Diceros bicornis minor: one gene and its partners. The protein of the gene in region 3 purifies or fractionates together with the protein of the main gene of each other region. This does not show direct contact. Links are inferred from orthologs where the notes say so. Each region holds a gene or a part of one and is shown on either strand. Other genes may lie near its edges.

What was found.
Region 1: the proteins of POP4 (region 3) and RPP40 purify together in Homo sapiens (affinity purification with mass spectrometry; 3 studies listed by BioGRID and IntAct, counting the BioPlex papers as one, with this or other methods). This does not show direct contact. The link is inferred for Diceros bicornis minor from reciprocal best matches to the Homo sapiens genes POP4 and RPP40.
Region 2: the proteins of POP4 (region 3) and RPP25 purify together in Homo sapiens (affinity purification with mass spectrometry; 3 studies listed by BioGRID and IntAct, counting the BioPlex papers as one, with this or other methods). This does not show direct contact. The link is inferred for Diceros bicornis minor from reciprocal best matches to the Homo sapiens genes POP4 and RPP25.
Region 4: the proteins of POP4 (region 3) and RPP38 purify together in Homo sapiens (affinity purification with mass spectrometry; 4 studies listed by BioGRID and IntAct, counting the BioPlex papers as one, with this or other methods). This does not show direct contact. The link is inferred for Diceros bicornis minor from reciprocal best matches to the Homo sapiens genes POP4 and RPP38.

Annotation. Positions count from the first base shown.
Region 1 is NC_080753.1:61,267,846-61,275,348, forward strand, and holds the start of RPP40 (ribonuclease P protein subunit p40), read left to right. Parts: upstream 1-4,503; 5' UTR 4,504-4,510; coding exon 4,511-4,633; intron 4,634-6,260; coding exon 6,261-6,405; intron 6,406-7,503. UniProt on the Homo sapiens protein: Component of ribonuclease P, a ribonucleoprotein complex that generates mature tRNA molecules by cleaving their 5'-ends. Also a component of the MRP ribonuclease complex, which cleaves pre-rRNA sequences.
Region 2 is NC_080744.1:67,855,674-67,862,393, forward strand, and holds RPP25 (ribonuclease P protein subunit p25), read right to left. Parts: upstream 2,011-6,720; 5' UTR 1,828-2,010; coding exon 1,186-1,827; 3' UTR 511-1,185; downstream 1-510. UniProt on the Homo sapiens protein: Component of ribonuclease P, a ribonucleoprotein complex that generates mature tRNA molecules by cleaving their 5'-ends. Also a component of the MRP ribonuclease complex, which cleaves pre-rRNA sequences.
Region 3 is NC_080773.1:3,832,860-3,840,295, forward strand, and holds the start of POP4 (ribonuclease P protein subunit p29), read left to right. Parts: upstream 1-4,421; 5' UTR 4,422-4,574; exon of another isoform or gene 4,575-4,950; 5' UTR 4,951-5,369; coding exon 5,370-5,376; intron 5,377-5,459; exon of another isoform or gene 5,460-6,918; intron 6,919-7,082; coding exon 7,083-7,135; intron 7,136-7,436. UniProt on the Homo sapiens protein: Component of ribonuclease P, a ribonucleoprotein complex that generates mature tRNA molecules by cleaving their 5'-ends.
Region 4 is NC_080775.1:15,572,479-15,580,575, forward strand, and holds the start of RPP38 (ribonuclease P protein subunit p38), read left to right. Parts: upstream 1-5,083; 5' UTR 5,084-5,186; intron 5,187-5,323; exon of another isoform or gene 5,324-5,625; intron 5,626-6,754; 5' UTR 6,755-6,811; intron 6,812-8,097. UniProt on the Homo sapiens protein: Component of ribonuclease P, a ribonucleoprotein complex that generates mature tRNA molecules by cleaving their 5'-ends. Also a component of the MRP ribonuclease complex, which cleaves pre-rRNA sequences.

The DNA of each region.
Region 1 (7,503 bases), on a different chromosome or scaffold from region 3:
TACTTCTGTAACTTGCAGTTCTCATTCAACATTGTTCTCATCAACATCAACATAATTAGCCTCTAATTAGTAAACTAATTAAACCTGCCTCAGAGAGGATTCTTGTGTGATGAGGAATATCAAGTGCTCACAGTGGTGCCTGACTCATCGCAGGCGTTCAATTACACATGTAACGTTACACACAACAGTACTATACAATTACTAGTAATCAATACATATTACGGCGATTTCTCCTTTCTCTGTGAATGTATCTTATTTCCTCAACTGCATTGTGGATTAATAGTTTTCAAACTATAGTAAAATCCGAGTTACACAGAAATGCTTCATTCTACATAATTGAAGTTTCTGGATAGCTAGGATTTAAATTCTTTATGTGCCAATTTACTTCTAAACATATGTTAAGTTAAGCAAACTAAAAGAATGAGACTTATAAAAAATTTTACCCCTTCCCAAATTCTCTTCCAAACTTGTTTATGAACATACATGACAAGAGCTTTAATCAGACTGTGTGACTGTTCTGTTTTTCCAGCCTCATTGAGATATAATTGACATATAATATTGTGTAGTGTTCTGCTTTTAAAATACTCCCCAATTTGTACACCTCCACGTATCGACACAGCCCACACAGTTGCTACTTTTAACATGTTTGTGTGCTTCACTGATTTCCCACCAGTCAGAGGGAGGAAATGAGTAGTCTGGCTCTGAGCCCGCACCAGGAGAACTTCTGGGATTCCAGTCCTCTCATGGTGTGGATCCTGTATTCTTCTTGGGGCCCCCAGTGTTTTCCACTGCAGCTGCAGCATCCAGTTTCCAGTCTGCCTGCAACTGGAGGGCAGTTTTGACCTTGTTCGCCAACACCGGCCCGTCTGTGGTGCCTCGGGGAGCCCTGTGCTGGAAAGGACTGCGAAGTCAAGGTCAGGCTCGGCAGGAGGGAGGTTTCCGATTTATTACCAGTGTCTGCACTGCCTTCACTGCTGCTCCTAATTATAATGAGACGTTGTTAAATGGCTTCAGAGCAGTGAAAGGGTCCCGATGAACATCACCTGATCACTCCAGAGCTTCTGCGTTGGAGAGCTCTCTCCTTTCCCCAACACGGCATACAGCTAGATACGACATTGCAAGCACATATATTTTACAGGCACTGTGACTGTGTTTTAGATTTAGACCTGACTCAAGCATTAATTTGTTTAAAAGAATATTTTAACATCTTCAAGGAGTTGAGCATCTTTACATTCTGTTTCTGTCATTTTTAATTTTATTCCATTGTAGCCCCAAAACATCATGTGTAAAATTTTTGTCCTTTTAGATTTACTAAGTATATTTTTGTATTTTAAGAATACAAAGGTACATTTACTTCTTTGCAAGTCTGTTGGCTTGTTTTCTAAAAAAATTCATTATTCTTTGGGGTATATATATATACATATATATATATAAATCAATTATGTTTTGTTTCCTGTGCTTTTTTTCTTTTTTAGCCATTTCTGACCTTTCATTCTCTCACAGACTTTTTTCTCTATGCTCTATGATATAGAGTCTATGATCTAATATCTGTTTGTCAGTCAAGATGACTTTCAGCTCTAGAAACCAAAAAATCTGACACACAATAGTCTGAACAAGCAAGGGCAGATGAGGCTGCAGAGGGAGGCAGGGGCTAGGTTACCTAAGCTTTTACTTGACAGCAAGGAGAAGCAGCAGCAGGGTAGAAACTGGGGAGGGTGGCATATATCACGTTTGTCATGTTTTTAAGAGATCACTGCAGATGCTGAGTGCGGAATGGACCGTAGAAGGCCAGACAGGCAGCGGGGAGACGGTCAGGAGGCTGTTTTTGGCAGTGCACCAGAAAGAGAGGAAGGTGGCTGAACTGGCTGTAGAATGGAGACAGTGAGAAGAGGCTGCAACCAGGCAGAGCCAACAAGCCACAGATTTGCATGTGGGGTGAGAAGGGAGCAAGAGTCAAGCATGACTCCCTGGTGCTCCCCCAGGGAAGAGGACCAGTCCTGGGGGTGACCAACAGGTAGACGGGACTGAAAACTGGGAGACTGTGTGGGATCACCTTGAGATCAGAGGGCAGACAGGAAGGAAAAGGGGCTGAAGATTACCAGAGGTCTGGAGGAGGAGGCCCAGGAGGAGGAAGGCAGAGTGAGGTGGGAGGGAACCCGGGAGAGACAGGGTCTCGAAAATCCGGAGGAAAGCGTTTCAAGAGGAGCGTTTTGAAACGTACCCAGGAATTTGTTCTAATCAGGTATGGTATGACACACAGACAGGGAAACGACTGTCATAAAGGAAGAAGTTTTTACTCACAGTTCCCTAGAATCAGGAGGCACGGCAGGCCACACAGAACCACTTGGGGAAGCACTGGGGTCCGTGAGGAGGCAGAGGGCGTGAGGGAAAGCATCCGACAGAGCCTTTACTGTGGGAAGGAATGGGCGAGGCAGGGAAAACAGACTAAGCAGGTTCAGGGTTGGCTAGTTTGAATAATTTCAGCGTGCTCTGGAGTGTAGGGACTGTCCCCAGTTGTCTGGTACCTGGCCCTGGGGTGATCAGGGCAAGGGGTAGTAGCCTGGAGGGTAACAGCCCACAGAAGAGGTGTGGTGGGGTGTGGATCGGTTAGTCTGCAAGTGAAAGGTATACTTACAGCACTAGTTGTTCGCTATCTCTAGGAATGGGCTAACTCTGTAAGGGGCAGCCAGCAAGGCTGGTCAGCAAGGCTCCAAATGCCAGAGCATCAGAAAATAAGAATAGAAAAAATAAGAAAATACAGTTAATACAAGGAAGAAGTGGTCAACTGTATCATCTTGTCACATGCAGCTAAAAGTCTGAGTGAGATAAGAACAAAAACTTGGCCTTGAATCTGGCAAAATGGAACTCACCAGTGACCTTGATAAAAGCCATTTCAGTGAAGTAGGGTCTAGGAAAGCTAGAACGAACGGGTTCAGGAGAGAACGTGAGGAGAGCTCTAATGGAGCAGAGAAACAGAATGGTGAATGCAGAGGCATCTGGGGTCAGAGGAGGGTGTCTGTTTAATGCACAACATTAGGCCATGTTTGTCTGCTGACAGAAATGACCCAGCAGCGGGGAGAAATGAATGACGTTGGCAAGGGATCATTACAGACACAGAACTCCAGAGCTCGGAAGAGGCAGGCTGAAAGGCCTCCTCAGCCTCAAATCTACTTGAAGTTACAGCTTTAATCTTTAAAATAAATGAGATTTTTGCCTTCTATTTCATAATACAGGCTCACTCACAGGACACATCCTTAAGTAATGCCCTGGAAGAACACCTTTGAGTTTTGAATACTCAAACTGCATTGCAGCTATTTATCTCTCAACACATTTTTCAGCTGTTTATACATATAAAATTTCTATTAAATCTTCAAAACTTAATAAAACATTTTAAACAAAATGGCTTGCTAGAAAAGCTTCATGTTGCTTCCAAATACAATTGGTAGACCATCAGAATCACCCTAGTCACTTCGAAAAGCTTTGGAGTATCAACAAAGGAGATGTATCTATCTGACGTTGCTTGTCTGAGAGAGGCCACCACTACTTAATTGTGAGGTGACCAAGAAGCTACGTATTAAAAAGCATTTTACATCCTGAGATGATATTTGTAGCTTATATCTAGGTGCCATACTGTGATTTAGGAAACAGGTAGAGGTTTTCGACTGACTTGCTAGTCCCTATAATTTTTCCTGCTTAAAGAAAAGGAAATAGGTTTTCCTTAGAGCATTCTTGGAGACAGGCTGACATTTCAGGCACAGGTGATTGACATTAACAGCAGACCACTCTCCAGCCTGCCTTAGTTTTAAATTTTGAACTACTTACCTTGTAAACTACTTAACTTCTATTCTTCAAAACCTTACAGTAAAATTAATGCTCCAGAAGGTTGTACCACAAATATTCTGCTGTTTTTCATCCTCTCTGCACAGAACTGGGGCTGGGCATACTCCAGTTTGAGAATCCTGTAATAATGTAGTAGCCAGAGTTGATAAGAAAAATTAAATGGAAAAATGAATTATCACCATAACACCCAGTAGCAACAAATTATTAAAAGCAGTTCAAAAGGGATCTTAAAAGTGATTCCGAAGGAGTCTGAAGGAGTCCTATTATAGGCCAAAAAGCAGAAACTGTTATTACCGTCCTACAGAAACTTCTTTTACATTTTAGGAAGGACCAAAGGGGGCCCAGAGGGAGGATTAATGGCAAGAGACAGCAGCTGGGACGGATGGAGGGCATGGCGAGGAAAGTGGCTTCGAACAGGCAAGTTCCAGGTCCCCAAGTACCGAATATTTAGGCAGTGAACTTACACGCACGGTTTCACGTACCCAACAGTGAGCTTTGGCACGGGTCCCTATGAAGCCTAGCCCCACCCCCAAAAAGGGGGCGGGCGGTGGGGGGGCTCAACAAGCGAAGCCTGCCCGCCCTGCGCATGCCCGCGGAGTGGGACGTGGGGGAGGGCCAGGAAAAGGGGTGGGGCACGCCGAGGTTGGGGCGGGCGTTCGCGGGGAAAAGCATGGCCACGCTGCGCAGGCTGCGAGAGGTGCCACGGCACCTGCTGGTCTGCGAGAAATCCAACTTCGGCCACGATAAGTCGCGCCATCGGCACGTTGTGGAGACACACTATCACAATTACAGGGTGAGTGCAGCCGCCCTGGGTCCGCCGGACCGTGCTCCATCCCCGCTGGCGGGAGAGGCTTGGGGACAGCCGTGCTCTGCTCCCCGTGGTCCTCCCGCCCTCGGCGTGCGAAGCGGGGGGGTGGGGTGGGGGGTGGGGGTCCTCGCCGGGCATGCTGGGAGCCGTATGCTCTTGGCCGCTTCGGGGCAGTGGCTCGCAGAGCTGCAGGACTACGACTCCCAGGATGCGCCGGGCGCAGGGCGGTGTCCAGCCGTCGGAGGGAGGGGCAGGGCGATGTGCGCCTGGCTGGGTCCGCAGTGCCTCTGGCTACTTATTGTGGTGCCGCCCCGCCCCAGGTGGTGGCGGCCGGGGGTGGGACGGGAAGGCAAGGCTGGGTCTAGGGAGTTAGGCGAGTGCGCGGGCCGCCCCGCCCCGATTTGAGGGCAGACTCTCGCCCCTTCCCCGCCGCTGGATTCCGTGTTCCACCCGCAGGCCTGTAGATCTTTCCGGAGCATCGTGCCGAGTTCCGGTCCAGCAAGCTACTTGCTTTTCTAAACTGCTTTTGGGAACTGGTTTGATATCTGAGAAAATTCCCACCTTGGCTGCCGCCTTTTGCGTTCTCCAGCCAAAGTGCAGCATTTCGGCAGCTTTTAGCGCAGATTCGCCGAGGTGGCCCCACTCGCAAGCACCACTTTAGAGCAACTTTGGCTTTTGCTTCGTGAAATGTCATCCTCGCGGGGTGCCTTTTTCCCGGGTGCGGAAGTCAAGGCATGCATGAGGTTAATTATTGGTTTATCCAGGATGTGCCGACTTGAGGAGAACGGCCGGTTTTCCCAGTCAGGCGTCTACTGGGCCGGTTTCACCAACCCATTTAAGTGGCGAGGCCTCCGAAAAAGCAACCTTGAGATGATAATGGCTTAAGCCTTTTACACTCTCCGTTGATGAGCCTAATCTCAACTGAGGCCTAACGGGCCAGTTTCTCAGACACTGTAGAGACCCTGATCCTCAGGAGCAGGCTGGTGTTCGGGCTTTGGGAGGGCGACGTTCAAGGTGTGGAGCACTGGGGCGACATTTGAAACCTGTCGGGTGGACCTCTCTGCTTTGGGTGGAAAGCTCGTCACAGACAGCCCTCGGGGAAGTGCAGCTTGTCTCTTCCAGCGTGCTCTGTAGAGTTTTTCTGTCTGGAAAATAGGAACATCCAGCAGCACTTCTGCTTCCATGGAACCTCTTGCTAATTGATGTCCCTAAATTCCTTATGCCCTAAGGGACAGTTCCTTTGATTCCAGCCTCGTACCAGGATAAACAAACCTGGAGGTATTCAGTTATACTGTATTGCCCTAAAAATTAATTGTAGTAGTGAAAGGAACAGGACATAAAACATACTGCTCGCTTGAGAAAGATGAAATGCAAGCCAGAGCTTTCTATTGAACTTGTTTTGCTCATTCACCTTTCCTGTACTGTGCTTTTGAATATACAAATGAAAAACTTAAATTGTCAAATTTCTCTTTTCCTGAGATTTGGTAAATTTAAGAGTTTTGTTGAAACCTGTGGAGGAATAGTTAGCAGCCTTCATGATGTTATCTCATCCCTCAAAACTTGGGAGTTGATCTACATGAAAATAAGACGTTTATATTACACATTCCAATAGGTTTCGTTTCTGATTCCTGAATGTGGGATCCTAGCAAAAGAGCTGAAAAACCTTGTTATGGAAACGGGACCATATTACTTTGTGAAGAATTTACCTCTTCATGAGTTCATTACTCACGGATTCATCAATACTTTTGTAAAGAAAGGTAAGAAAAACCGTGTAGTGTCTGTGACCGTGCAAGGGGAGGAGGTATAGGTAGATCACATCGCAATACTAGGGTTCTTCTCCTGTTTTAAATAGGGCCTGTGGAGATGGGCTGTGTGGTCAGGTGCGCACCTCACTCCCCCACCCCTCAGTATTCTCATCCCATTCTTTCATGTGCTCTCATCAGGTGGTGGTTTCTGGTTATACTTGCCCGCAAACATTGCATGGGGATGTTGTAACATGGGAGCATCTCTCATCTGGATTCATGGAGAGGAAAGCCTTTTGATCTGTGTGTTCAGACGCACTGCTGTTGGGTGTGTGGCTGCAAGCACCCTTGTGCTCCTGGCAGTCTGCACAACAGCTGTCTCAAAAGGTTGCTCTCTTGGTGCAGCCATAGCAGCAGTTCACAGAACTGGGTGTTCATTGTGGTTCCGTGTCTTTCCTTAGAGTTTGTGACTCTCACCTTCCTCTGCTTACCCTATTCCCAGTCATATCCAGTGGGTTGATTGGTTTGTCCCAGTTTTTTCCTAGGAGCCATTTGTTTGAAACTGTATTTCACAGCGTCTCTATGGATTCCACCCTCACTGTATAAGTCACTGTGCAATAGCCACTTACTTATCTTGAGGCCCCGTGTTCTTCCTCTCCAGTGGAGCTGTGAAGAATCCTAGTTACTTGTGGCTCCTCTTGTTTTGGTGCGACTGGGGCTGCTGATGAAGCTGGGTGACTTGCCTTCGGTCTCATCGACATTATTCCTTTCATCTACTTTGAAGTTTGGCACTACTTCATTAGTTGTGTGGACGCTGGCTGTAGCAGGCACTTTTACATATCTTACCCAATTTAACCCTTGCAACAACTCTATGAAATAGGCCTATGATCCCCATTTTACAGGTGAGGAAATTGAGGCTGGGAGAGATTGAGTAGCTGTCTTAACTTCACACAAATTCCTGGCACATTGTGAATCTTAACCTGGAACTCTGCCTCTCGGTGTGTACACTTCTACTTTGTGCCTCTGCCAGCATCCCCAAAGGTCCCTGCTCCATCCCGAGTCCATTTTCTGCTTGATGGTAGTCGGCTTGCACAAATAGACCCTGGGCAGGGG
Region 2 (6,720 bases), on a different chromosome or scaffold from region 3:
TCTCTCCTCCCCCTCTCCCAAGGGTGTGCTGTCCTTTCTCAGAGAAAGAGCAATGAAGGGGAGATCCTACCCATGGGTACAGAGGGCTTTGTGCCAGCCTTCTGGATAAGGATGTCTATTGGCAAGAGGCTGCAAGTTTAGGGACCCCAGCAGGGTCTGCCACCCTTGGCAGTGACCCCCAGGAGTTTATCAATGCTGGCCTTCCTTCTCCTCCGAGAAAAGCAATTTGCTGCTCCCTTTCCCTTAGTAGTAATGCACAAGGGGACAAAGGCTCCCTTCCGGTGACAAGCACCTGAGGCTAGAGCCAGCCAGGGAGCGCTGGGAGAGAGGGAGAAGACAGGGACCAGGTAATGTGTCCCTTGCAACAATTTGAAGCTGTCCAGTCTCTGTGCCTGACCCTGAATACTCCAAAGGCTAAGGATTCCAGGCTGGAGGGGACTGAGACACAAGGGGGCAGGCCAGAGCAGTGTCTGCACAAGCAAGTGGTTAGGAAAAAACATGGGGACAGAGCCATTTTTCTGTTTGTTTTATTGGAAGCAAGACTCTAGCTGTGGGGCTCAGGGGAGGAGGCATGGAGACTTGTCCTGGGTCTCTCCCTCTGGGCCAGCTTGGGGAAGGGAGGACGTTGAAAGAGCTAGAGCCCATGGAGATGCCTCCTGCCACCATGATCCTAGGATGATCCTTAAAAGCAGGGGAAGGAAAACTAGAAAAGAAACTGTGTCCTGCCGTGATGGGCAGGATAGGACCCCCCACAACTCAGACTCCCCTGCCCTCAAGCAATCAGTTTCTCACCCCTTGCCCTCTGCTGCCAACGGTGGGGGTGATTCAAGAGCTCTCCTCGGCTTCCACACTCGGAGCCCCCCACCTGAATGCTGGGGGTCCCTGAGCAAGGCTCGAGTCCCCCTGCCCACCATTCCTTCCCTGAAGAAGGTCCCAGTATGGCTCAGAAAAGCTGAAGGTGGAGTTCTGCGTCTTCAGGCAATACACAGGTGGAGGAGTAACCACCCCACGAAGCTTCCCTGGGGTCCCTCCCTTGTCGCCTTGGGGTCCACGCTGCCAGTCTGAGGAGCTGTGTTCAGTTGTGGGCTCTAGCGTACTAAGGCGTGAAAGGCTGGAGGTGCGTCTCAAAGTCGAGGCGCTGGGGGTAAGATACAGTCCATCTAGGTGGCCCAGAGCCGGGAGTTCTCAGGCCGTCCGGTCCTCTTCCGCAGCACCTGGCTCAGGTTGTGACCGCTTCGCGGAGCCTTCTCCAGCTGCGGGTTCCCCAAGGCTCCTCTTGGTCGTCGGCACCGACGGCTGGGATGAGGGGCCAGGATGGGGGTTCGGGGGCTGGTAGCCGGGTTGGCGCGGATCCAGTGCATCCTTGGAAAGTAGGATGGCGAGGCTGGGCACGTTCTTAAGTACACTGAGACTGGTAGCCGGGTCGCCAGGCTTCTGATCCGGCGTGGGCCCGGGCGGGAGGCTCTGCCACACCTCGCGCACGCTCCGGTAGCGCAGCCGCGTGACCTGGTGCAGGCCCGCCAGGCGGCGCTTGAGGATCTCGGCGCACGTGACGGTCTTGGTGGTGGCCCGACCGCAGCCGCTGAAGACGATGGCGCGCGTGGCTGGCTGCGCCATGCTGGCGGTGGCGAAGGCCAGCAGGTTCCGGATCTTGCTGCCCTCTTTGACCCGCATGTGCACGGCGCCCGGTGCCAGGTCCGCGAAAGGGCCGGAGCTCAGGCCGCCCCCTTCGGCCCCGTCCCCCACCGGCGCCTCCTCGGAGCGCACCTTACGGAAGTTCTCCATGCGCCGTCGTTGCCGGGACCGCGGGGACGCGGGTTTCGCCATGGGGCCGCCTCAGCCCCGGGGCTGCATGGCCGCCAGTCGAGTCCGGCAAGGGCCGGCAGAGGTAAGGGTGCAGGAGAGGCGTGGACGCTGGCGGGCGGGCTGGGACGGCGCGATTCTTCTCTCCCACTTCTCTCCAGTCGGCGCTGCTCTACTCCGCGCTCTCGGCGTCCGGTGCTCCGCGCCTTTAGCGGTGGCCCCGCCTGGGAGCCTGGGAGCCCCCGCCCCTACTGCCAGGCCCCGCCCCTAACTCGGCCCGGCCCGCCCCGGTCCCAGCCTCACCAGCCTCTCGGATCCAGTCAGGTCCTCAGCTAAAAGGGCGTGGGAGCGGCGCGCACGCTGGGGCGCAATGGCAGCGTCCGAGGGTGGGTTGTCAGGCGAAGTTCCCCTATAATGGCCATCAGTCGTCTCCGAGTCAACCCTCATAAACGGGCAACCTAAATAAAAACTGCGTTTGCGGTGCAAATGCCGCCACAAGTCGGGTCCCCAAGCCCTTCCGCGTTCAAATTGAAGGCTACTCCTTGTCCCCTCCCCAGGAGAGATTTCTAAGCAGCCTGCTGGGGCCTCTTTCCCCTACTCCTCAGGGGAACCCCCCCTACTCCGTCCCTTCCGCTCCCGAGCCGGTATTCTTGCCTCAAGGACAGCCTGTGCACGGTCAGCAGAGTGCGGGAGGCGCTGGCTCTGGTTCCGCTCCGCGCCTTCCCTGGGACGACTATTCGCGGTGTTGTCTTCTCGGGGCAGCCGAAGACCGAGGTTTCAGCCTCCGCGCGCCTGACCGGAGCTGGAGGCTCCCGGACCCACGTACACCCCTGGCGTGTGGGAAGTGAGGCTCTGGGTCAGGCTGTTCCCTGAGGTGAATGGGAAGAGAACAAGGAGACCCCTTCTCAAGGGGAGTTAAGCTCCCTCCACTCGTGCCTGAAAGCACACTATTAGAGCTGCATGCTTTAGGGTAAGCTAAGCATGCTTCCCTGCTAACGTGAATCCCTTCTTCCCAGGTGGAATTCGTTGTCAGTCAGCCTAGGCCTCCTGAGACCCAGTGGGGTCCTTTTTCAGAAAGAAGATTGGTGAAGGCAGGTTTTGAGGAGAATGGAGGAAGGTGGGAAGTTGAAGCTTTGGGGGCGTTATGAAGCTACTGGGTGCCCCTCTCTGGGAACTCCACTCGACAGGGAGAGTGGCCCCGAATCTCCTGCCGGGAGAGATGAACAGTGAAGAGAGAGGTGACGTTGGGATTGAAGGACTGCTGATGAGAGGCAGCGGGTTTGAAAAGGAGCTGGCTCCTCCCTAGAACTGCCCTGGGGCATCGCCCTTCATTCTTCCACCCGCCTCACGCACACGCACAGTCAGAACTGAGAGAGAGGGGCACACCTGATCCGGGTGGGGCTGACTACCACGCGGCGTAGCCGGGAGGCGTGCGGAGAGCTGCCTTGGGCATAACAGTGCCTGGGGGAGCTGGGCCCCAGTCTTGAGACCGGGCTGCTGGGGTCCCCCTCTCCATCTTCAGGCTCTCCTTGCCTCCTCAGCATCTTTTATCTTCTAGTTTTCGGGCCTTGCTGTTCAGAACCCCGGGCTGACCCCATTACTGCCCCTTGGGAGTGGCTGGAGCAGGTGGACCTTTGCGCCCCCTCTCCGATCTCTTGCACGCTGGGGTCAGGGGCCCTCAGGGTCGCGTTCCGCGCCAAACCTGGACTTCGGCTCCGCCCCAGCTCCCGCGGGCCCCACGAAGAACAGCCACAGGAGCTGGAGGCACAGCAGCCTCGAGAAGACACACAGACTGTCTGCAGCGCGTTGCGGGGCGCGCGGAACCTCAGGCTCTGTAAGACCCGGGCAGTTACGGGACGTAAAAGACGGCAGTTTCGGCGAGGCCTGAGAAAAAGTGCTCGAATGGCCGGAATGCACGTTAGAACGGGCTGGTTAGGGAATAAGCGAGCTCTCCGTCCACGGGGAGATGCAAGCCTAGGCTGAACGTTCACTTGGAGAGGATATAGGCAGCGGTCTGCAGTTTGGAGCAAAGGGCTGTGAGCTCCAGGTTAGCGTAGGCTGAGGGTGGGGTTGTTCAGCGTCCACCTGGGTTGGTCCTCAAGGCACCGCTCCCCAACCCCCCTTCAACTGCCGCCAGCGGTGGAAGACTTGGATTCACTTTGCTCCCCAGTCAGTGAAGGGAGAGCGTGGAAAAGGCCCGCACCGCCCCCCCGCCGGTCCCCTCCCCTTCCTCGCTCCCTCTGCAGCACTTAAAATGTAAATGTACATCGTGATTAGCCGCCGGGTCGCTAATTACCGCTGAAGCCATTCATTATATTGTCAGCGCGCGTTCTAGCCGGCTGGCTGTGCGCCCCTGCCGGGCCGCCGAGTGGCAGGGCTGGCGGGGGGAGGGGGGCGGAAAACTGTGAATAAGGGTAATGAGGTTGGCGGAGAGAAAGCGGAGGCAGGAGAGGGGCCAGTAGCCAGGGAAAAATGGGTGGGCGGTGAAGTAGAAACGAGGGGCGGGGCAGGGAGAAGGGAGAAATGCTGGAGGCAGCTAGGAATGGGGGCGACGGAGAGATAGTGAGGATACGGGGGGCTGGGGGCGGTGTGAGACAGGAAACCTGGATGAGCGGGGAGAAGGGAGAATACTCGGGGAGGCGGGGAGGAACCCCGGGGAAGGGGTGGACGCGGTTGGGAGGGGAGTAGAGGGCTCAACTGTGCGAAGGTGGGTAAATACATTTCAGCGTTTGTGGTGAACACCCCCCGACAGTTAGAAACGTGGAAAGGCAGTCAAGATTTTCTGTTAAAAGAGCCGGATGCCAGCTATACACACAGTAGGACCACAGGTATTTTTTTAAAGGGGTGTGTGTCTATTTCCGTGTGTGCGTGTTAGTAGAGGTAAAGGTCTTTTTTCATAGCTGCAAGAAAACAGCACACTGCCTCTGTTACCTCTGAGGCCGCATCCAGTGTTTTTGGGCCTCTTGAAGAAAAGAACTACTAAATATGAATCCAAAATTAAGCACAGAGTCGTGGAGCAGCCTGTGTACGTGAGGTACTGACGTTGAAGCCCGAGCTTCATTAGCTTCTTTTTGCCTCTATGTGACCTTGGGCAATTTACTTAAACCCCCTGCCTTGGTTTTCTCAGCTGTAAGATGGGGCTAACATCAGAACCTACCTCATAAAGTGGTTGTGAGACATTTATAAGTCTTAGAACCTCGGCTGGTAAGTTCTCAGGAAATGTTAGCTAATATTATTTTTCATATATTATTTGTGATTAAAATACATTTTAAAAATTTATTTAAAATATAATATATAATTTATTTATTTATTTATTTTCCCCCAAAGCCCCAGTAGATAGCTGTATGTCACAGCTGCACATCCCTCCAGCCGCTGCATGTGGGACACGGCCTATGAGGCCAGAGAAGCGGTGCGTGGGCGCTTGCCGGGGATCCCAACCTGGGCCACCAGCAGCGGAGCGCGCGCACTTAACCGCCAAGCCACGGAGCCAGCCCTACAATATAATATAAAATAAAGGGAGGTGAGGGGGAAAGAAAGCTGATGAGCCCCGCCCCCGTGGCTTATGCGCGCGCTCCACTACTGGCAGCCTGGGTTCGGATCCCAGGCGCACCCCGACGCACCGCTTCTCCGGCCATGCTGAGGCCGCGTCCCACATACAGCAACTAGAAGGATGTGCAGCTATGACATACAACTATCTACTGGGGCTTTGGGGGAAAACAAAAGAGGAGGATTGGCAATAGATGTTAGCTCAGAGGGGGTCTTCCTCAGCAAAAAAGAGGAGGATTGGCATGGATGTTAGCTCAGGGCTGATCTTCCTCACACACACACAAAAAAAGCTGATGAAAAGGAAAGGAAATAGGCAAAGCCTTGGAAATAGCAGTTTTCCTAATATGTTAGGGACTAGCGAGGGGCAAATTAGACTCTCTTCACTGTCAGAGGAGGTGGTGGAGTGGCTAGGCTGGAGCCCCAGCCTCACCTGGTGCAGCATCAGCTCCTGCTCTGCAAATGGACCCTTCCAGAAGTACATCCCGCCTCTCGCGTCTCGTGGACAGGTCTCTCACCCCAAGACTGGGAGAAAAATCCTAGCACAGGGCAGATCTCCTCCTCCTCCAGCTCCTGGGGCTTTAGGGAGCTCCTAAAGACCCAGGTCCTGTCCCAGCCTCTCTGGGAGGGGCTTGGGAGCATGCAAAAGAGTCAGGCCGGAAAGTCAGAGGGGGCCAGAGGGAGCTCAGATTTATCGGGCACCAACCAGTGCCCAGCAGAGGGCCAGGTACTCTCACAGATCTATTCTCTGATTTAATCTTCACAATTTTCCTTTCCATCATTGTTTGACAGATATGGAAACTGGGGCACAGAGCGGTTAAGTAACCTGCCCAGTGTACCACAGCTAGAAAGCAGCAACCACAGATATTTGAATGCAGGTGCTCTGACTCATTTTACTACCTCACCTGAGTATAAGAGAAAAAGAAACTTTTAAATGATTTGAGCTGCCCAGTAAAGGTAGGAGTTGGTTTGGGGTAGAGAGGGGGTTCTTCCCTACAGTGAGGAAGATGTATTAGTTATCGATTGCTGCATAAAAAATTAGCCCAAAACGCAGCAGCTTAAAACAAAAACATTCATTATCTCACACCGTTTCTGAGGGCTAGAGATCCAAGAGCAGCTTACAGGGGTGGTTCTAGCTCGAGGCCTTTCCTGAGGCTGCAATCAGGATGTTGGCTGGGTCCGGAGGACCAGCTCCCAAGCTTGCTCACATGTTGGTCAGAGACCTCAGTTCACACGGATCTCTCCATAGATTCACTCATGACATAACTACTGGCTTCCCCCAGAGCAAGTGATGAGACAGAGAGAGAGAGAAAGCAGGGAGCCACAGTGCCTTTTATGGCCCAGCATTCTTTGAAGGGGAATTAGGTTCTACTT
Region 3 (7,436 bases):
GCATCCTCTGTCAATACACTCAGCTCCTGGCCCCGCTGAGTCCAAGACCTGAGACAAACAGAGAGCCGCTCCAAGCTCACAGAGGGCCGCTGCCCCCCACCCAGGCCGACTGCTCCGCAGACCTGGGCACGGACAAATCAGGGCTGGTCCTCCATCACCACAGGGACAGGAAGGGATGGAGCCTCACTGATGAGGACTGACGTGGCCACTGAGAAGACGGAGAACGATGCAAAGTCCAGCCTGGACCTGCAGCCATTCTCCAGCTGGCAACCTCCACGCCCCAGCTCTTCAGATGCCTGAGGCCCCTGTGGCTCTCAGGACCTGGGGCACACAGAACCTTTCCTGACTCCTCTAGCACCAGGTACAGGGGCTGCAGGGAGACCAGGAACAGTCCCCAGGGTGCCCTCCACTTGACAAGCAAGACACAGGGCCCCAGAGACGCCTCGGGTCTTGTGGGAGATAAATATTTGTCTATCAGATGACCAAAGAGGGTGTGTGGTCTCAGCGGTTAAGTTTGAACATGCAGGCATCAGCCATCATAGGGGATACTGGAAGTACTTTTCAGCTCTAGAATTTCCATGTCTCTGCTGAAATCCTTCATCATTTCACCCATTTTGTCCCTCTTTTTCTCTAAATTACTTGATGTATTTATAATAGTATTTTAAACGCCTTCTCTTCCAAGTCAAACATCTGGGTCATCTATGGCTCTGTTCCAGTGACCGTTCTTTTCTCTGGATTATGGGTCACAGTTCCTGCTTCTTTGCATGTCATATACACCATGTTTTAAGCTGGATGTTGTGTATTAACGAAGAGAAGAGACTGGGGAAGACTAAAGGGTATATCCATCTCCCAACAAGGGCACCCCTTTTTCTGTCAGGCAGCATGCTGAGGGCCTGACCTCTTCACTGAATCAGATTTCTCAAGTTTTGGCTCCCCTGTCTTCAAATATCTTGAAGGGGAGCCCCGGCCCCCACCTCCAGCAGGGCTTTGGGGTTCAAACCACAAACCAGGTCTCTGCTTTCCAGCCCTGTCCCAATTCCAGTTTGGGGTGATTCTACATCAGCTCCTTCTCCCTCCCACTTTCCCATATTTTGGACCAGAATGGGCTCACACATACCTAAACACACAGCTCTTAGGCCTGGAGCCAACGGCTGCTTCCGCGAAGTTGAATGCAGGCCCAAACAGGAGAGGGGAAGCATGAGCTGCCTGCACCCGTGCCCATGCAGCCTGCAGGGACTTCCCTGCAAACCCGGAGTGCCTCAGAAATTTCCCCATCCACCCAGTGAAGAAGTCTCTTAGGACCCCACAGTCTCCTGTGCCTTCAGACACTCTGTCATGGAAACCAAAACCAAGCTCTCTTCAATGGCTTCCGCTTAGAGGGGAACTTCTTCAAGCATCTGGAAGAATCTACTTTGGCTGTACTTTAGACGTCTGCCATCAAGGCAGCCTTGAAGAGTGACTTCTGGAGGCTGAAGTGTTACTGCACAAAATTGGGGTTCTCTGCCCGATGTGCATAAACCAATTAATTATGGCATTAGTCTTTGGGGGAGAAATCAGCTTTTATTCTGTGCGATCAATCTGCAGGGGGACAGGGGACATGTACCCTCAGATCTGTCTCCCCGATTCAGGACTTGGGGCAAAATTTAAGAGGTTAGGGAGAAAAGGCTGGCAGGCAGAAATGCTGGTGGGACAGGTTTTGATTGGTGGTGCTTCAAGCATTTATGGTAAGGTTTTAAACATTTATGACAGGGTGGGGAAGGAATTTTAACACCGGATCTCCTGAATGAGGGACCCCTCGCTTCTGATAAGAGTCCGACTTTCAAGTTCTGGTCGAGTCCCGGTCCTTGGGTTCCATGGGGAAGAGGATCTTTAGTTCCGAGGTCATTTCAGGTTACAATTCCCTTTTTCGCATGCTCTGGCTATGTGACTTTGCAGTTTTTCTGAAAGACAATTCTTTCCTTTTTTTGTGTGAGGAAGATCAGCCCTGAGCTAACATCTGCCAGTCCTCCTCTTTTTGCTGAGGAAGATCAGCCCTGTGCTAACATCCATGCCAATCCTCCTCTTTTTGCTGAGGAAGACTGGCCCTGAGCTAACATCCGTGCCCATCTTCCTCCACTTTATGTGGGATGCCGCCACAGCATGGCCTGACAAGCGGTGCATTGGTGTGCGCCCGGGATCCGAACCCGGGCCGCCAGCAGTGGAGTGCACGCACTTAACCGCTACGCCACAGGGCCGGCCCCTGAAAGACAATCCTTAATCACTCTGTTGATAAGAGATGGGGTGAGTCAAACCGGTCCTGGAGGGCCTGTGGTTACAAAGGGACTGAGAAACCTGGAGTTCAGAAACTGGTATACGGCCACACATGCCAAGAGTTATAGTCCCCGGTGTTTGGAATTCCAAATGGTGGGTCTTAAATTGACTTAGAGCACAGTGCTGCCTCTTGACCAAAAGGCAGTGACATGTTGTCCTGCTGTGAGCACAAGTCCTTTGATGCTTGTAGCCAGAGCACCCACTGACGGAGCAGGAGAGGGCTTGCCTGGCGGGAACAGCCAACATTAGCACTGGCACCTCACTGCTTGCCTCTTCACTTAGAGTGGGCAGTTTCCTGTGGCACTAGTAAGCCTGAGGAATGACTGCTGGGGCCACTGTGTCCAGGTCCCCCCACCACCACTCCCAGCTCCCCTTGTCAGTACACGTCTGGACCAGCGTACAGATCAAGGGCAAATCAAGGCCAGGGAAATTCATAATCTTGAGCCTCAGGAGCTGTCCCGGCTTTGTGAGGATGCAGACAATGATGGCCATCATCTCTCACACGGTACTGCCTGGGCCAGGCCCTGTTTTAACATGGGCATCGTCGCACTGCAAGCTCCAAATCCCCCTGGGAAGCAGGTACTGTTGTTAACCCCGTGTTCCAGATAAGGCTTTCCTGTTGTAGAAAAGCAGCACACGCCCCATCCCTCTCAAACACACCAGATTTAATCACTTAAAAGAAACAGAAAAAATTCTATATATATATATACATACATATATACACACAGTATGTGTTTGTGTGTATGTATATGTGTGTATATACATATATATGTATATATATGATATATAAAATAATATACTGACTTTTTTAACATGGGAAGATTACAACTTTCACTGAAAACACAGCCTTCCATGTTCTTATTGCAGGTATGCTGGTATTTCTTCAGGATCACCACCTTTTCTTATATTTACAGGAAATCTACTAGAAATAATGTTTTTCCTTAATCCAAAAGTGGAGGAAAAGGGGTGCAGAAAAAATACTTTTCCACTGTATTGTCAGAGGCTAGTAGATAAACGGTTTCTGTAGATTTAGTTGTGTTTATTTATAAAGAGGGTCCTAATTTTCATAGATATGCACTTATTTAATAGTTGAGGCTTAATCTTTTTGAGCTTATAGATGAAACTTCCCTTGAATGCTCCACCTGGCAGCCTGAATGTCTCAAAGCAGCAATCAAAAGAAACCTGTACAAACAGAGCAAAATGGTAACTGTGCTACCTAGGAGCAGACAAGTGCTCACTGTGGAACTCATTCCATTTTTCTGTACAGCTGAAGTTTTCCACAAGTTGTTGGGGGGTGAAGGGACTCATCTGCAACGACGCCATCCAACCGTGACTTCCCATGGAACTTTCACAAAGTCACTACGGGGAAAACACATACATATCCACGTGTCAAAGCTTGTCATTTACAGCTATAAAAAACAAAAATATTTTTAAGAAAGTCTTGCTTTCACTGAATAAAATTTAGAAAATAGACAAAGAAAAAAAACTCATCTTTCCAATCCTTTTTGTGTATCTATTTGGTTTTGTTAACATCTTGTAACCTTTAAAAAATTGTACGTAATTTGTTTAATGGCTACATGGTATTCCATTATGCAAGTTATATAAATGTACCATACTATAGTTCTCAAACCTGATTACTCAACAAAATTACCTGGGAACATTTTTTAAAAATACAGATTCTTGGTACTTACCTACTAAATAAGAATCTCCAGGGATGATGCCAAGGAATTTGAACTTTTGAAGTTTACCCTGTGATTGTAATGCATTTAATTAACCTAATTAATTAGCACATACTTCATTTATTTAATCCACCATTATCAAAGATGGAGTCGTTTCCAATTTTTTGCTATTATCAACAACAATCACAATAACACTGCTACCTACAAGGACTGGTATCTCTCTGCATACATAGACAATTATTATGAGGATAATAAAGTGGTTTATTTGCTTTTTAAAAAGATTTTTATAATCAGGGAACTATGAAGTAACCGCAGCTCTGGGAGTGCCCGCCCACCGCCCCACACACAATCAGGGAATTCCTGGGAAGACTGGCAGTCATCCGGGCCCCGCGGCTACTTGAGAAGAGGTCAATGGGAGTTAAAGGTCCTAACAACCCAAGAAAAGCTCTCAGACAGAGGTCTGCCTTCTCCCTTATCTCCAGAATCACGCAAGTCCTGCTCAGAAGGGCCCGAGTCCACCGCACTGAGTTTGGCTCCTCCTGTCTCCTGCCGCCTTGTTCAAGTTCACATTTAGCAGTTCACACGGTACGGACCTCCAGTCCCACGGACTCCTAACTATTCTCCAGCACCCGGGCCCTTCTGAGAGGTCTGCTCCCGGCCTTCCAGCCACTTCTCGGCCCCTTCCCCAAAGCAATGAGAACCAATCCCTGCCTTTTATCTTATTGACAGAAACTAACATTCTGGGTCTCAAGAAAGCTTTCAGAGACCATCAAGTCCAATCCCACTCAGAGTACATGCGAGAAGTGGGGCCCAGAGATGGGAAGGGCCTTAGAACTCCGACTCGGGATCCCACAGACCTCGCTCCCAGCACCGTCACCACCATCCCGGCCCCTTTCCGCCCTCCCCTGGTCCCCGACCTCCCTCGTGTCTCTCCAACTCGGCTCCCCTCGCTCTACTCCAGGCCTTCACGAGCATTCCAAAGGCCCTAACCCAACCCAGCCCTCGGCTTCCGGCCTTCCCCCGCCTACGAAACACGCAGGCTGAAGCAGCCGCACAGATCAGAGACACGACGAGAACCAGCCGTGCCCCTCCGGCCGGCGGAGTCCGCTCCGGGCGCATGCGCAGCCTGAGCCGGCGCGCGTCGGTGACGTCACGGGCGGCGCCATTTACGAGCCCCGAGCGCCTGGGAGCTCAGCTGCAGGTCGGAGCGCGTCGGTCTGTCGGCTGAGCGTACCGCGCGGCCTTGGGCGCCAGGAACCTCTCCACCACAGACTGGCGAGAGAGGCTCTGGTAGTCGAGGGTGCGGAAGAAAGCGGAGCGTGGCAGAGTGAGCGGCTCCTGAAGGAGACGTCATCAGAGCGCACCGGAAGCGGCCCGAGAATGACGAGTAAGCCGGGTTGAGGGCCACGAAATTGTGGAGGGGCGGGATGTAAAGGGTCGGGGACTCGGTGCTGGCGGGGGGAAAGGGTCTCTGCGGAGTCCGAACGGACTGCTGTGGGAGTTGTCCCTCTTTGCGTAAGTGAGACTGAGCCCAGAGTCCCGTTTGGCCTGGCGCAGTCTCTGAGCCGGGGATGGTTGTCTGGGCTCCATGGAGGCTTCTCTCGGGGGCTGCTCAGCGGTGTGTGGTGCTGGAGGAGGGCCCGAGGCCTGGGCCGAACCCTCCCTGGGTGCCGTGGTCGAGGCCCCGCTCCTCTCTCCACCTGGTTCCCCTTCTGTGAGGTGCTGATAGTGGGGCCTGCGCAGCCCGCTGTTCGTAAACGGCCCTTGTCTGGTGTGAAGCGCCGGGAGCCTGCTGGGGAATGACATCGCCAACCCAAGGCTTTGGGGGAAGAGATGTGCGAGGAGGGGAGCGAGCACCCGGGGCAGTTACAGGCAGAGGAGTGCAGACATCGTTAACATGGGGCTTTGGATCAGGATTTTGAGTTCCACGTCTGCTGCTCCCTCCTATGTGATCAGCTGTTCCAGCGTATCTGAACTTTAATTTTCTCATGTGTGTTATAGGAATAATCACTACTTTGAAAGATTGTTCAGAAAGTATAATGAGATGAAATATGTGTAGCTTTTAATCAGGTGCATGGTAAAGAATGAGTGCTCAATAACCATTAGATGTGTATTGTTACAGAAAAGGCTGGAAGTCTGCCTAATACTAGGCAGCTGTGGCAGGTGAAGCAAAGTCATTCCTGGGGTTCCAGGCCCTGCAAGTTGCTCTCTGCGAACAGGTTTTCATCCCCATCTTCCGTTTGAGGGAGAACCAGACTCTGTGTTTAAAATTTGTGACCACTTTGGTTTGCTTGTTCAGATGTACTCAAGGAAGCACAAGGCAACTGGGATGGAATTGATAAAGTATAGTATGAACCAAATTTCTAGTCTTTTGGCCCCTAAATGCCTTTGTCTCATTCTTATTCTATTCACACTCGTGCTTTGTCCCCAATGCCACGGTTTTCTTCTTCAGACAAATTAAATAAGAAACAGGAGTGTGGAAGTTTTTAAGGTTGAAACCACATTGATCAATATGTATTTTGAGTTTGAAGAATGACATACTGTATTTTATCAGTTTAGGACACCATCAGTTGTATGATACATCCCAATCTCATAGATATTACAGTGTGAAAGTTCTTTTTTAGACATCCTATAGTCAACAAAATGTAATATTTCTAACCATCTGCATCCCGGAAAGCTGTATCACATAACTTTTAAATGAGTTACATCTTTAGACTTACAGAGCAACTGCTCAAGTTCCTCACCTGTGGTTATTGAAACCAGTGCAGCTCCACATGTGGTCCATGACCTGCAGTAGCATCTGAGAGCTTGTTAGAAACGCAGGATCTGGGAGTGGGCCCGACTGCATTCTAATGAGATCCCAGAGTCGTACACACATGGACGTTTGAGAAGCACTGTTTTAAAGCACACCCTTGGAACTTCTAGGAGGGTAAGATGAGAAGCTTCTAAGAAACCTTTGACGCTGTGCTCTTTGTACCACCCCCTCATCTCCTGTCTCTGAATAAGGATAATTATCTTCATAGTTAGAAGAGTCTTGGGCCTTATAGCCATACCCGACAGGACCTGATCATTTTGTGTTTTTTAATCCCCCAGGTGTGATCTACCATGCCTTTTCTCAGAAAGAGGCACAAGAGTTGGATGTTCAGGTACAGTGCTTGGCAGGAGGTGTGGGAGCAACAGAGGTGGTGATGGAGATGGCTCGATGGCTTTGAAGCCCTTAGTGCTGCTTCTGATGTCCTTTGCCATGTCTGGCATCTGATCGTTCCTGTAGATGTGCTGGGCCGGGTCAGGCCCGTCGTTCTCATGGCCTGTTCCGTGTGCTGGCCTCCTTTCCCCTTGTGCCATGTCAGGTTCCGTTAACTGGGGCTTCTTGATCTGTGTCATCTCCCACTGCATAGGGGACACCAGCCTGTGTCCCGATACCTGCCTTGGTAAGCACCGTCACTG
Region 4 (8,097 bases), on a different chromosome or scaffold from region 3:
CTTTTTCGTGTGGAGTGTCAAATGTACATAGCAGGAAGTTCACTCTTTTAACCACTTTTAACTCTACAAATCAGTGGCATTAAGTACATTCACAATGCCATGTAACCACCACCACGATTTCCGAAATTGTTTTGTTTTCCCAAACAAAGGCTATACCCATTAAACAATGACTTCCCATCCCCTCCTCCCCCAGCTCTGCTAACCTCTACTCTACTTTCCGTCTCTATGAATTGGCCTGTTCAAGTCACCTCATGGAAATGTGACTATCATACAGTATTTGTCCTTTTGTGACTGGCTCATTTCACTGAGCATAATCTTTTTCAAGGTCCATCCATGTTGTAGCATGTAGCAGTACTTCATTCCTTTTTATGGCTTAATGATATTCCATTGCATGTATATATCACACTTTATCCATTCATCCATTGATGGACATTTGAATTGTTTCCACCTTTTGGCTATTATGGACAATGCTGCTATCAACACTGGCATACAAGCATTAGTTGCGTCCCTGTTTTCAACTCTTTTGAGGAAACACCTAGGAATGGAATTGCTGGGCCATATTGTAATTCTATGTTTAATTTTTTTTTGAGGAATTGGCAAAGTGTTTCCCACAGCAGTTGTACCAATTTACCTTCCCACCAGTAATGTAGGAGGGTTCCAATTTCTCAATATGCCCACCAACACTTATTCTTTCTGTTTTTTAATAATAGCCATCCTTGTGGGTGTGAAGTGGTATTGCAAATCGGATCTATGATTTGCAAACATTTTCTCCCCTTCTGTGGGTTTTGTTTTTACTCTCTTATAGCGTCCTTTGATGCACCAAAGGCTTAATTTTGATGAAGATCCATTTATCAATTCTTTGTTTTGTTGCTTATGCTTTTGGCATCATATCCGAGAAATCATCGCCACATTCAGTGTCATGAAGATTTTCCCCTAAGTTTTCTTTTGAGAGTTTTATAGTTTTAGCTCTTAAGTTTAGAACTTTGATCCATTTTGAGTTCCTTTTTGTATAAGTGTCCAACTTCATTCTTTTGCATGTGGATATCCAGTTTTCCCAGCACCATTTGTTGAAAAGGCAGTCCTTTCCCCATTCAATGGTCTTGGCCCTCTTTTCTTTTCTTTCTTTCTTTCTTTTTTTTTTGCAGCAGAAGATTCACCCTGAACTAACATCTGTTGCGAATATTCCTCTATTTTGGGGGTGAGCCGCCACCACAGCATGGCTGCTGCCAGAGGAGTGGTGTAGGTTGGTGCCCAGGAACTGATCCCAGCCCCACCCAGTGGAGCACGCTGAACTTAACCACTAAGCCACTGGGGCTGGCCCTTGGCCCCTTTTTCAAAAATTAATTGACCATATATGTGAGGCCTCTCTATTCTATTTCATTGGTCTATATGTCTGTCTTTATGTCAGCTCTGTAACATTTCACTTACTGTAGGTTTATAGTATGTTTTTAAAATCAGGAAGTGTGAGTCTTCCAAATTTGTCTTTCCTTTTCAAGATTATTTTAGCTATTTGGGGTCCCTTGAGATCCCATAATAATTTTCATGCTGGTTTTTCTATTCCAGCAAAAGATACCCATTACAATTTTGACAGGAATTGCATTCGATCTTTAGATTGCTTTGGGTAGTATTGGCAAGATGTCCAGATGAGCTCTTAACTCTGGCTGCACATCCAATCATCTGGAAGGAAAAACACAAACACAAACCAGATGCCTGATTCCTGCCACCAGAGATTCTGATTTCAAGGTTGTGGGGTAGGGAGCAAACAGCGGGAATGATGCAGCCAGGGTCGAGATCTAGTCTGAAATGATAACTTGGCTCTCTTTCTCAGAAGGGCCTCTGAATAATATGTGTGGTGGTCCATGATTTCACTGCTCTCCTTCCCACAAGTGTGCACACTCTCCTCCAGGAACACCAAACTACTTTAAATTCCCTGTTCTCCAGGTTTATAGATAGCTGCTGCGCTCCACTGTCCAGAATGCCCTTCTCCTACCTTATTAACCAGCCAATTCCTCTTTCAAGACTCAGCTTAGATGGCACCTCCTCCAGAAGTTTTTTAGGACAAGAGGCATCTTTAGTCTGGTCTACAAGCCTGTAGCCTTCTCTCCTCTCCTCTCCTCCCATTCTCCCCTTCCTTCAAAGGGTTCCATCTACACGGGCCTCCTTGCTGTTCTAACAGGCTAAGCACACTCCTGCCCTGAGGGCCCTTACACTCTTCCCTGGGTGTCTGCACGGCTCAGTCCCTCACCTCTTCCAGGTCTTTGCTCACACATCACCTCTCAGTGAGGCCTTTCGTCACGCATCCCAGCACCCCCTTGCTCTCTTCTCTGCTTTACTTTTGTCCATAGCACTTCTCATGATCTGACATACTACATAGTTTACTTTTTTGTTTATTGTCTGTCTCCTCCATTAGAACTTTTTTCATTCACTGCTTTATCCTCAACACTTAGAATTCAGTAAACACTGTTCTCTGTTGAAAAAAGGAAGGAAGCAAGGAAAGAAGGAAGGAAGGAAGGATGGAAAAAAGGGAGGGACGGAGGGAAGAAAGAAAAACAGTTGCTTCATTCTTACATATCTAGCATCTAGCACATAAAAGATACTCAATAAATATTGAACTAACAAAGTATAATGTTATTGATTTTTTTTTACCTAATACATATACACAGACATATGTACACATTTCTATCTTAAAAGTACTTCTCAACCACTGGCTCTCAAATTGCTTCAGAAATTATTCTGTGATTAATTCATATAAATATCTATACTTTAAGTAATTCTAAAATTATAGGGCCTGTTTATATATACCTCTGGTATATTTTGAACAGTTACTTGCAGCCTATTTTATATCACATAGATACTTTATTTTCAAAATCGGTGCTGGCAGTTTAGGACTTAAGGAAAATCCAAAGTGTAGCATCACATCACATTAGGCCTCTTCTCTGAAAAAAAAAAAAAAAAACTCTAAAAAAGCGTCTACTAAAAAAAATCTCAGACTAGCTTTGTTACCATCTGATTTAAGGTCTTTCAAATTTCTCTTTTTTAATAGGACAGCTCCGCCAAGGCCCCCTGACAACCTTTCACATCACCTAGCCACGTAGGAAAGGCTTGACTGCAATCTGACCTGAATCTTGGTGGAATGCCCTGTAATTCCTCCTGGAACAAGGCCTTCCTATCCGGTGGGAGACTCCCACCTCGGTGTTTCTCCTCCATTCCCATAGTTTCAGTTGAGCACACTGGAAGGCTGAGAGGTGGTGGTGGTGATGATGCTGTGTTAGGCTGAGTTTTTTCAGGATAAAATAACTAACAGCTGTCATTACAAAGTAAAACTGATCATTCAGTATAGGATATGAAATATATAAGAGTTAAAGTGACAATTTGAAAACTATGCTTGAAAAACATGGAAAAAAATCTTACATGGAATGAAAATCAGAACACAAAATTGTATCTACATTATTATTTTAACAATGTCAATGTACGCACAAATGTGAAACAAATTAGAAGGGAACACTGAGAGGAAATGTGTTTTGGGGTAATCGAGTCATGGAAAATTTTTTTCTTTTGACTTTTTTGTTGTAATATTTTTGTGACACAAATGGGAGAGAAGTTACCTTTGAAAGGTAGTTTTACATTTTAGCAAAATTCTTGTGAAAATTATATTGCTAGTCATAAAATAGAACACAAGCACTAAAATCATAGAGGCTACAGTTAATTTTTATTAACTTAATTCTTAATTCAGGGTGTCACTGGATTCATCATAGTTATAGTTACCAAGCACTTTCTATGTGCTAGGGACTGTGCTAAGCATCTTACAGATTATCTCTTCTAATCCTCACAACAGGCCCTATTTTTATCACCTCCTAGAGAGGGTTAATTAGCTTGGTTTAGGGTCACATGCCTAGTTACTGATGAAGTTAGGGTTTCAGCGTAGGCAGCCTGGCTCCTGAGCCATGGAATGTAATGGCAGGTAATCTTCATAGAGCAAATGTAAATTGAGATGATGCTATAAATCTAACTATACAAACTGGAACCATAAATCTAAACCCTTAGGGGAACAAAAACTTATACACATTTCCTTCTCATTACTCTAGCATTTCAATTAGACATGTGTGTCTCTATTTGTCTCCCAGCTTAAAGGACTAATTTAGAATTACATGTTTGCAGTTCATCACAATGAACCAATGGGATTCATTTTATGAAATAAAGTCTGTTGTTACACTCAAACTCATTGTAACTTTGTTATTTTTAATCTTTCTGTGATTTAAAAAACCACACTGAACTTTCCCCTGGGTAACCTGCAATCATCTTGGACAAAAAGCAACACGGTTTTTTGTTTTGTTGACTTTATGGCCAGTTAGGATGTAGGTGTTGAAAGCTGAAAATATAGAAACTAGACCAAAAAAGGGGAAACAAAGCAAGCAACGCAGTGATTGAGAAAGGGAGGAAGATGTTTGGAGAAGGAAGAGAGCCTAAGTTAGACTGGAAAAGAAAACGAAAGGTGTAAATTAGGTCAGAAGCAACCTACTGTCCTCTAAGTTCGTGCCCAGGGCAAACAGATTCAGATGGCTGAACTTGAAAATGGTCTTCAGCTGATTTACAGTGGTCCGCGACTTCCCAGGGCCTCCATCCGTAACCATAAGTCTCCAGTGGTTGGAGCAGACATTTGGAGCTTTCCGAACCGCTGTCGCAAAACTGAAAGCAGGCTTTACTCTCCTTCTCTTTCAGGGAGCTAAAGAGTGCCTACATTGTTGCCTGTAAGCACGTTTTTCCCCCCTCAATCCACCCCTTATCTCTCATTTATCTTGATTCTCCTGTTGCTGGGGATTCGGCAGGGATTCGATGGAAATGGGGGCACTGGGCCTGAGGCAAGCCAAATACAGAAAAGCGAGGAGAGACAGAGGGCTAAGAGTGCCACGCGCAGAAAGGCAGAAAGGAGAGGTTGCGAGCTGTGACAAACGGCCTTCAGGACATTAAGGGCGGTAGACTGGCCCCCAGACCACGCAGCGGAGACGCGGGCAGCAGGTTACCGTGGCAACCGTCAGGTCTCGCGAGACAGACATTGCGCCTGCGCACTGCCGCTGTAGAGAACTTGAGGGAGCCTCCAGCCGCGCTGCCGAACTCAGGGTTTCTGGGATCCGGTCTCGCGCCGTCGCTTCCGGGCCGCGCGACGCCGTGGCCTGACTTTCTGCATCGTGAGTGAGCTAACGCCGAAGGATGAAATGTGAAGTTCTCTGAGCATTTGGAAGGCGGGGTGGGGGTGGGTGGGACGGCGGAGCGAGGGCTCTGCGCACGCGCGTCGCGGCGCACGTGGAGCCGGAGCTCCCGCGGTGGTGAGTGGGAGCCGGGCCCCGGGGCCAGGAGGGGCCGCCCAGGTGGGATCGGCCCCAGGATTCGGCGGAGTGAGAACACCCAGGGTCTCCAGGACGTCCCCTGGACCCCCCTGCATCCCGGCCTGCCCGTCCCCGCCCGGACGCGCGTATTTTCCTGCCTCCGGGCGTCGGCGCCCGCTCCGCTCGCTGCCTGCAGTTGAGCGTCTGTTGGGTGCGAGAAATACTAGGATAAAGCCTCATCCTGGCCCTTCGTTACTCCAGAACCTAGAGGTGGAGACGGACGACAGCATAACACACCTGCGTATGCTAAATAGTAAATACGGAGGCACCAGATAGAGGGGCGGCGTCCCTAGGGAGGGGTTAACTCAGGGTCGGGAGTGCAGCCACTGGGAACTGGGGCTGCCCTCCACTCCGCTACCGGATCCGCAAACCAGGAGGCCTCCCTGAGTCCTTCCTCTGCCTTACTCGTAGTCGATCGCTCAAGTCAGGTAGATTTTCTCTTTGAACTATTTCAACTAGTATATCTTTCTGTCCATCCCCTCTGCGGTGGCTCTACCGCAAGCCACGGTCATGTCTTACCAGGACTATTCCCGGAGCCTCTTTGCTGCTTTTAGTCTTGGCACAGGACCCTCCCAGGCCCGAATTCACAAAGACCTTTCTGGAATGTCTTTCTAATTCTGCCGCTCTGCTTTAAACGTTACAGTCGCTTCCCACTATAAGGCGTACAAGGACCTTCACTGTCTCTTCTTTACCTGCCTTTCCTGTTATCTCACCATTCTCTAGCATCTCTGTCCAGGCGACACTGAACTTATTTCATTATCTTTAATGCTGTTCTCTGGGATACTCTTTCTGCTTCGTTCTCCCTTTGGTAGCATTCTTCAGATGTAGGTTAAAAGTCACTGCCTCCAGAGACCCTTCCTGATCCCCTCAACTAAGTCAGGCCTCTGGTATATGTTCCCTTAGGATCCTGTAGTTTCTTGACCTTAATGTGCGCCACGTCTCGTTGTATTATTATTTGCTGATAAGACTTCCTCATAGATTCTAAGCTCAGGGAGGCGACTGTTTTTACTTTAATACTTTATGGCTTGGTGCATTGTGGATAATCCAGAAATACTTGTGGAAGTAAGGCAGTGATGGGGGTGAGGGTGGGAGTGGTATTCTGGGCAGAGGGAATATGTGTATAAAGACGTGGAGGTGAGAAACTGGTGGCCTCCTTAAATAGTATGTGGTTCAGTGGGGGGTGTAACCAGCAGGGTGAGGCAGCTAAGGGGAGAGGCTGGTGGGGCGATGGGGGCCAGGATGTGGAGAGCCATGTATGTCACCTTAAAGAGTTACTGTTACTTCTCCTTGTCAGTCACTCCTTTGTTTTTGAATAATATGACATAAGATTCTTCTTTTCCAAACTCCTTGGCTCTCCTCTCCCCCTCCAGATTCTGAAGACAGGAGGAGTTAAAGCCTATCTTGCTCTCTCTCCAGAGCACGTAACTGTAAGTATTTATGTAAGGATTCTGTGTTGTTTCAATGCTCAGACACATTAACTGACTTGGATTTTGGCAAGAGCTCTGTTAGATCATATTCGTCTTGCTCGTCTTCCTGATCACCGTAAACCCGATGCCAGCCTCTGCCAGTCACCACTGGATTTGGATGAGCTCCCTCCTGATTCCCTGAGCTTGAGGGGAGCATGGAGATGACGGGGGATGGGAGGGCTGCGCGGTGGGGCTGATGTGACGGAAGCGGGTTAGGCAGCAGACACCGAGTTTCTAGAAGGGGCAGTGCTGACACGAACAAGGTCTGACCTCTCACCCCAAGGAACTGAATTTTGATTTTCTGTTAGAAGGTGACTGAGGAGGAACACTGGAGGCCTCTACTGGTCTGTCCAGTGTGGAAAGGCCGTCCATCCTACATCAGCAGTTCCTAATTCTGGTTCTGTATCAGACTCACCTGGGCAGCTTTTTAAAGTACAGATGCCCTGGTCCTATTCCCCAGGATCCCAATTTAGTAGATCTGGGGTAAGGACCAACCATCTGTATGTTTTAAAACGCCACAGGTTATCTTTGAGGTGCAGCCACGATGGAAAGCACGTAAAATTTGGATTTGGAAAACTAGCTGTGACTTTGGGCAAGATATTTAACCTGAGACTGTTTTGTCCTCCACACATGGGACAGTTATACAGGAATTCTGTGAGAATCAAACAATACATGGAGAAGGTGCCTTCTAAATTCCGACATACTTCACAGAGACACTTGTTCCTGAACATCAGTAGCCAGCCTAATAAGCAGAAGTTTAATTGGAGAGGACTTAAATCTTAATCCTGCCTGGGGCACTTCAGGGTGGGCAGGCCTTGGCAGGACAAATGACCTGGAATGAGGGAGGATCTGGAATGAGAAAGTCTGGCTACCTGAAAATAGGGACAGTTCCAAGCCGCAGACTGCTCCAGGGCTGGCTTGTTTCACTTCCTTTAGTTTTGCCGCATGGGTCCCTGTGGTTCTTAGCCAAGCCCCAGGCAGAAGGTGAGGAAGAAAATCAAGGGAAGAGAGATGCACTTGTCTCTGGGAGGGAGAAACACGATATGCTTCCTAGACCAGTGGTTCATAACATTTTCGCAGCAAGGATCCTTCTTGTTATTTTTTCTTAAGGGATTAATATCTTTAAATTTCATTACCAAATTTCCCTAGTTTTCATCAAATTGCCAGCTGGAGGAGCAGGCAGCTTGGAATAACCATAGGAAGGGGGAATGTACTGCTGCATGTGTATTAAATGTTTTAGGAAGGAT